Mus musculus: one gene and its partner. The protein of the gene in region 1 interacts with the protein of each later gene in a pairwise test. Links are inferred from orthologs where the notes say so. Each region holds a gene or a part of one and is shown in the gene's direction. Other genes may lie near its edges.

Region 1 (3,916 bases):
GATCCAACATCATCTCTGACCTCTATGGGCACTGCAAACACATAGTGCACAACATGCAAACATAACACACATACACATAAATAAAATTAAGCTGCATTGCTGTTCCTTACTATTCTCCCAATCTCTTAATATCTGTTAAACAAAGACTTCATGGCCCAAATGAGCCACATAATCTCAGGAATACACAAGCAGAGAAAGAAAATGAAATCAGAGAGGTAAATTTTTAAAAAAAGATTTTATTTATTTATTTTATATATGTGACGAGTACACTGTATCTGTCTTCAGACAAACCAGAAGAGGGCATCAGATCCCATTACAGATGGTTGTGAGCCACCATGTGCTTGGAATTGAACTCAGGACCTCTGGAAGAGCAGTCAGTCTCTTAACCACTGAGCCATCTCTCCAGCCCCCGAGAGGTAACTTCCAAGTTACCAGTGTACAAGAGAATCATAAGTTCAAAGTTGGCTAGCACGAGGTGGCGTGTTTAGCGGCGCAGAGCCAGGTGGATCTCTCAGTGTTAAATATCAGGTTCTAGGCAGGGAGACCCTGTGCTCCAAATAAAACAGAACAAGAAAAAAAGAAGTTAGTTCAAAGTAAATATGTATTGTTATCATTCCTTCTAGGCTCCCAGTTACCTGGCAATAGCTAGGTATGACTAACTCACTAGAAAAGGGGCTGTTTGCCCCCCTCCTCTCTTATCCTACACTCTGCCCCTTCTCCCTGGCCGGCCTCTCCTCTTCTCTCTCCACCCCCCTCCTTGCCACTCTCTCTCCCTTTCTCTATCTCTACTCCCTCTTCAATATGAAGCTAGTCAGGGTAACTTGAGGCCTCGTCTCAACAAACAAACAAACAAACAAACAAACAAGCAAACAAACAAAATCAAGCTGGGTGGTGGTGGCCAATGCCTCTAATCCCAGCACTTGGGAGGCAGAGACAGGCAGCTCTCTGTGTTCAAGGCCAGCCTGGTCTATACAGGGCAAGTTCCAGATGGCCAGGGCTACATGGTGCGACCCTGTCACAAAAAAAAAAAAAAAAAAAAAAAAAAAAAACAATAAAGAAAAAAGAAAATCAGACAGGTATAGTCTGATCCATATCACCAATTCCAGTCTAGCTAGGGTTTCATAGTGAAAAACCTGTCTTAAAAAAAGAAAAGAAAAAATATGAGTAATGGTGAAAGCAGAAAACAAGAGAACTTTTTGAGAAGAGGAACAAATAAAAAAGCCTAGGATCCCCATTTGTTTTGGAGGTACTGACATAAGCTTTGTATTTAAACAAAGAACTGGGGAACTGCAACCCAGAGAAGGCACCCCCAATCAACGAACATACGCCCGGAAATGGTCATTTATGGGGCTAGAATAAGAGGTCGGAGGAGACCCACTGATCTATGATGTCATCAGGACGTTAAAGTCCGTAACGTCACCTAGAGGTAGCTCAATTTCCCTTCCCCTACAGGTTCGCTGGAAGGCCCAGTCTGAGTTCAGTCTCTCATTGGTTACGCACTCTGTCAATCCACTTCATTGTTCAAGTGTTCCGTCCCGCCTTCCCCCATCTGCTTTTGATAGGCTGCTGAATCTGTCATTTCAAAAAGGTCCGCATTCCTTCCGCCTTTCTCCGGGAGACCGAGGGCTAGAAGGGTGGATCCCAGGAGGCTCCTACCCCCCGAGCTCGGTTTCTCAGCCTGATTGGCTTGTCCAGGTGCCTGTCACTACCGCTTTCACCGTTGACTGGCCTTTAGACCGCCGCTCTACGCGGCGCCGGTTCCGCCCCCGACGGGTGTTTGTGGTGGGGCTGCGGAGTCGCCGATCCCGCCGGAAGCGCCAGGACAATGGGGACCCGGGACGACGAGTACGATTACCTATTCAAAGGTGCGCCTTGTGGGGTACAGACAGGCGAGGTGGCGGTAGCGACTGGAGGGCCGAAGCCGTGCTACAGGAACAGAGAGCTCAGGGTGGAGGCCCGGACTTCAACGGGGCCTATCCGGGCTGGGAGTCGGAGGAAGCCGGGGCAAGTGGAGTTCGCTAGGCTTCGGGCCCTAGTACGCAGTGGTGAGGAAAGGGAGGCTCGGCGAGGCCTACGGACCCCGGATGCGCCGGGGCGGGGCCGGGGCCTTGGGGGGGTGGGGCCCGAGGTGGTAGGAGAGGCCGTTGGGGCGGGGCGTCCCGAGGGGCGGGGCTTTCCTGGGTTTGGCGGGCGGACTGCGTTGAAAGCAGGATTGTAGCTGGTGTTAAGGCGAAGGAGAAGGTTGTGGGCGTGCCCACAAAGCCTGATTGGTGTGAGCCTTCTAGGACTGACTGACACACCCGGGGCCTACCTTGGAGTGGAGCCTGGATCATGTGCAGGAACCCTATATTATGGTGCTTTGGAATTGGGTAGATTGGGGCCTGTCTGTCGACTAGTTCAAACTCTTGATATTCATGGAGAAGTGATTCAGTTGGTAGCATTCCTAGCAGCAGCATGCTCAAAGCCCTGGATTTTATCACTAACACCGCCTTGGTGATGGTGCAGGCCTGTAGTCGCAACACTTGGGAGGCAGAGGTAGGAAGATCAAAAGTGCAGAGGCCAGGCTGGATTACTGGAACCCTTTCTCAAAGGAAAAAAAGAAAAACCACACATGGACAACGTTAAATGCAGTACCTGTACTATTCTGAAACTTTTTAATAATGGTCCCTTTTACTCCTCCTTATTAGTTTATACAGCCCATATTATCCAGGAAACAGGCCAGTAGTGGTGCACACCTGCAATCCCAGTACTCAGAGTTGGAGGTAGGAGGATGTACTGGCTAGTTTTGTGTCAACTTGACACAGCTGGAGTTACCACAGAGAAAGGAGCTTCAGTTGAGGAAATGCCTCCATAAGATCCAACCGTAAGACATTTTCTCAATTAGTGATCAAGGAGGAAAGGCCCCTTGTAAGTAGGACCATCTCTGGGCTGGCAGCCTTGGGTTTTATCAGAGAGCAGGCTGAGCAAGCCAGGGGAAAGCAAGCCAGTAAAGAACATCCCTCCATGGCCTCTGCACCAGCTCCTGCTTTCTGACCTGCTTGAGTTCCAGTCCTGACTTCCTTGGGTGATGAACAGCAGTATGGAAGTGTAAGCCGAACAAACTCTTTCCTCCCCAGCTTGCTTCTTGGTCATGATGTTTGTGCAGGAATAGAAACCCTGACTTAAGACAGGATTTCTTTGCAGTTCAGAGCCAATCTGGGATGGTGAGGTAGCGTAGGTATTTGTGTACACTGCCAGGCCTGATGACCTGAGTTCAATCTTGGGACCTTCATGGTGGAAGAGAGTCTGCAAATTGTCTTCTGCCCGTCACAGGTACTCCACATCACATATAGAGATAAACTGAAAAAAAATCGTGTAATTTAGCAGAGTGTGGTGTCACACACCTTTAATCCCAGCTTCAGGAAGCAGAGACAGACAGAGCTCCATGAGTTCAAGGCAAGCCTGGTCTACATAAACGGGTGAGGTGGGAGTGGCAAGTCAACAGAATGAGATTTTTCTTGTATTTTTTTTTTTTTTTTCGAGACAGGGTTTCTCTGTGTAGTCCTGGCACTCACTTTGTAGACCAGGCTGGCCTCGAACTCACAGATCCGCCTGCCTCTGCCTCCCAAGTGCTGGGATTAAAGGCATGTGCCACCACGCCCGGCTTCTTTTAAATTTTTTAAAAGCTAACTTAGGTTACACATCCATAGTATGTCTTTAAAAAAAAAAGTGGGGGGGGCGGGGGGGGGAAACAAGTTCAGAAAGGCAGGTTCCTAAGGGTGGAGCAAGGTTGAGCCCAAGACAGATCTTACCACTTAGAGGTTAAGTTTAGGGGCAAAGATTGAAGCTTAGATATGGAAAAGACAGTTGTTATACCTCCTTCCTTCAACACATATGTATCCAATTACAGGAAGAGCTTTCCTACTTAGTGAGCCTC
Region 2 (3,816 bases), on another chromosome or scaffold:
GTTTGAGTACCTCCCAACACCTAATTGATAGATTCACCGGAGACATGCTTGCTTGTATCTATATTTTTGTTGTATGTGGTAGAGAAATGAATCCTAGCCTTCTTTTGTGGCCTGGCCTCTTTTTTCTGTTATCATTTCTCCATTTCAAAAGCTTGCAGCGGGAAATGTTTGGCAAAGTGCTTGCCTTGAAAGCATGAGGATCTGAGGAGTTCCTTAGACACCCAAATGCACACTGAGACAGTAAGGCAGGAATGGAGGAGGTAGAGACAGGTGCATGTCCGGGGCTCCCTGGCCAGTCAGCCAAGACCACTTGGGAAATTCCATACCAGTAAGAGATTTTGTCTCAAAACCAAGATGGGTAGTTCTTGAGGAATGACAGTGTTGGTTGACCTCTGGCCTCCACGCATATCCATGGACACACCAAAGAGGAAAAAGAGCCTGTAGCATATATTCCATTCCATACAAGTGTTTCTAGAAAAATTTCTATATTCAGAGGAAACAAAATTGGATTCTAATGGTGGAAAAGTTTAAGACTTTTCAGTATGATTGTGAGAGCAGGCCCTTTGGATGGATTTTACACTTTTCTCATGTGATCGGTTCTGAGCCAAAGAAGATAGTAATATAATTGTCTAAAAATATAGTATCATAGCACATCTACTTATAATACCCCTTACCTAATTTTAAGATTGTTTTGATTATTTTGAGGGTTGATATCTTGTTAATTGCTCTCATTCTGAAGCAGCAGAATGTATCAGATAGTGTAACAGCATATGTCACCCATCACCTACTAATGGGAAAAAATGTTTGTAGGAAGTCTCAAGTCTCCACACAGACGAACACTAAGCTTTGATACTTCTAAATTGAACCAACCTGGCAGCATTGTGGATGAAGGTGAACACTCTTTTGGAAGACAGAGTGACCCATTTACAAATGTGACTGCTTCATTACCCCAAAAATTTGCAACACTGCCAAGGAAGAAGAATCCATTTGAAGAAAGCAGTGAGCCATGGGACAGCAGCATGAATTTATTCTCAAAACCAATTGAAGTCAGGAAAGAAAGTAAGAGAGAGAAAAGGGAGAAGGTGAGCCTCTTTGAAAGAGTGACTGGCAAGAGAGATAGCAGGAGACCTGACAAGCTGAACAATGGTGGATCTGATAGCCCATGTGACTTGAAATCACCTAGTGCTTTTAGTGAAAACCGGCAGGACTATTTTGAATATGAGTCAACTAACCCGTTTACAGCAAAATTCAGGGCTTCAACTATAATGCCATCTTCAAGGTAAGCTCACCAGGAGGAACATGTGCCGTTTGGGGGACCTTGTACTTGAAAATAATAAGTATTCCTTTTAGATGCATGAATATTTTATATTCTTTTTATTTACTTATTTATTTTTACCTTTAAAAAAAAAACTATCCATCATAGATCTAAACATTGTTGTTTGCATGTGTCCTTGGAATTGAATGTTTTACCTTGGAAGAGCAAAGACTTTTTCCTTTCTACCTCAGTCTGCTCCTACCTATGGGAGCCAGAAACCTACCATAGTTCTTGGAGAAAACAGCATGGTATTTGATGAGACCCAGTAAAAGTGAATAGACCATGGGCATGAATTCAATCCAGAAGTATATTTCTAGGTGCTTCCCAGGGATTAAATCACGGGCTGTCAGGAGAGCGCCAGTGAGCCAGAAGCAGTCAGCATGGTGCTATTTAGCAAATGCTGAAGTACTAATGTTGTCATAAAAGATGTTAACTGTCTTTATTAGATGGCTGATCAGAAATATCTTTTATTCATGAATACATGAATGTCTTCTTGAATCCAGGGACCCTTGGGGGTACTGTCTGTACCCTAACCAGAGCCCTGGGTGACAAGTAGCCATGGGTACAATCAGCTGATGAAAGTTAGAGTTTTAAAGCTTTGGGTCCTTCTGTGTACATGGCTGCTTACTTCACAGCATTAAAGTCAGAGGTTCTGCAGTTCTGAGTGATAGAGGACCTGCTTAAGGAACCTCAAGCAAAGATGAAGATGACCATGAAGTTTTTAAGTAATTGTAGAGAAATACAGTAGAGGCTGAGTGTCCTGTGTAATATACAGACCTGAGTGGGAATCCTGACTGTGGAGTACTGTGACCTCTCTAGACCTCAGCATCTACATCTCTGAAGCAAAGAGGATATATGTAGTTTGTAGGATGTAGTGAGGCTAAGTAACACACACATGAAACACACAGTACAAAGCCAGGTACCAAGCGGGGATCGAATAGATGGTCACTGCTTCAGGCTGAGTATCCTTCACTTGGAACCCGATCCACTTTTATGTAGAAGTAGAATGACAGTTTAACGCTTTCATCGTGGGTAGAACCTTGAGCTTCAGATTTGGAATTTTTCAGATTTGTAATTTTTACATGGAAAGTCAATGCTGATATTCTAAAATTCTAAAACCAAACTGAACCACTTTGGGTCCCAGAAATACTGGGTAAGGGACAGGTGACCAATTGATGTCTTATATATCCTTTTCTTTAAAATTGGGGCTTTTTGTTTTGTCCCAGTACTTACAGAAGACGGAGCATTAACAGCCACTTGGGTACGCTTTTCTCTTAGACCTCTCCATCATGAATGCAATGCCCACCCTTGAATGTATATCTTCTATGCTATGTTAAAAAATGCTCTTAAAATTTCCAGAGGGAAGTGCTCATTTTCTGTTTGTTTTCTTTATTATTAGATGGGAATTTGCTGTAGTTTTAGAAAAAAAATTCATTCAGTTTTATCTATAGACTATACTTCAGAGAAATAAATTTTTATTTTGTGCTTTCCTGACACAGAGATACTTCTTCATGTGTCTCTACTTCATCAACTCTTAAGTACAAGCTAAATAAGAGTGTGCCCCTCCCTTTCTGAACACTTATTTTTTTGCAGAGATTACTGAAAACAAGTGTTCAAGGTAACTTAGAGATTGGCTAAACTAGGTAATTTTAGAGTCAGTGAAAAGCAGGAAAAAAAAGGGAACTAGTTTTAAAATAATACAATACAAATAATATGAAAAGTAACTGTCCTCAAGCTGTGGCCTCTGTGGCTTTAACAGGGAGACGGCCTGCACTAGATTTCAGCTTCATTTTGTTCCACTTTAATATTAACACTACTATCAAAATCAAGGTTGTATTATAAATCCTATGGTTACAAGTATATAAGAAAAAAATTCTTTTAGAACTTAAGACTTTTTCTTTGTATTTATGAAGCTCCAGGTATGGGGACAGAAAGTGCATTCCTGGAAGTTTCTGTCACAAGTCATCTTTCTGGTAAACTAGAACATTTGTAGTTAATGGGTGTCTCCAGTTAAGGCGTAGAACAGAATTTTTTCCCAGTATGTTAAGTAAAACCTACTTAGAGAGCTCCTGAACTCTTGTGACCCATGGTTTTGAGACTACTGTGTCAACTTAAAGCACAGTCCATTGCCAAGAAGCTGGTGTGTGAACTGACACGCCTGTGATTGCAGGAGCACAGGAACCATGTCTGTCCTCTAAGTAACTAAGCATGCCACTAGAACTGGAGAATTTTCTTTATATTCCTCTATTTTCTGTCACTAAGAACATAATTTTTAGAAGTTAAAGTTTTTAGTGTTTGTATATGTAACATCTGCCCAAGGAAAAGGCACATTGGAAACTACAAAATACACTTTATTTTGCATCTTGGAGTCATTCCTATAGTCTTGTGGGAAACTGATGAGGAAATTAGTCAGGCTGCCTGCATCAGCAGGATGCATGGCTCCTCTCTGAGGTTCACTCTAACAGTATTCTTCCTGCTGACCTGCTCTGCTTCCTTGAAGC

The links.
Region 2: the proteins of Rab11b (region 1) and Rab11fip2 interact in binary tests that used the Homo sapiens proteins (3 or more experiments, as listed by UniProt). The link is inferred for Mus musculus from reciprocal best matches to the Homo sapiens genes RAB11B and RAB11FIP2.

The regions. Positions count from the first base shown.
Region 1 is NC_000083.6:33,758,172-33,762,087, reverse strand, and holds the start of Rab11b (ras-related protein Rab-11B), read left to right. Parts: upstream 1-1,601; 5' UTR 1,602-1,825; coding exon 1,826-1,865; coding exon of another isoform or gene 1,866-2,045; exon of another isoform or gene 2,046-2,230; intron 2,231-3,916. UniProt on the Homo sapiens protein: The small GTPases Rab are key regulators of intracellular membrane trafficking, from the formation of transport vesicles to their fusion with membranes.
Region 2 is NC_000085.6:59,933,069-59,936,884, reverse strand, and holds part of Rab11fip2 (rab11 family-interacting protein 2), read left to right. Parts: intron 1-810; coding exon 811-1,279; intron 1,280-3,816. UniProt on the Homo sapiens protein: A Rab11 effector binding preferentially phosphatidylinositol 3,4,5-trisphosphate (PtdInsP3) and phosphatidic acid (PA) and acting in the regulation of the transport of vesicles from the endosomal recycling compartment (ERC) to the plasma membrane.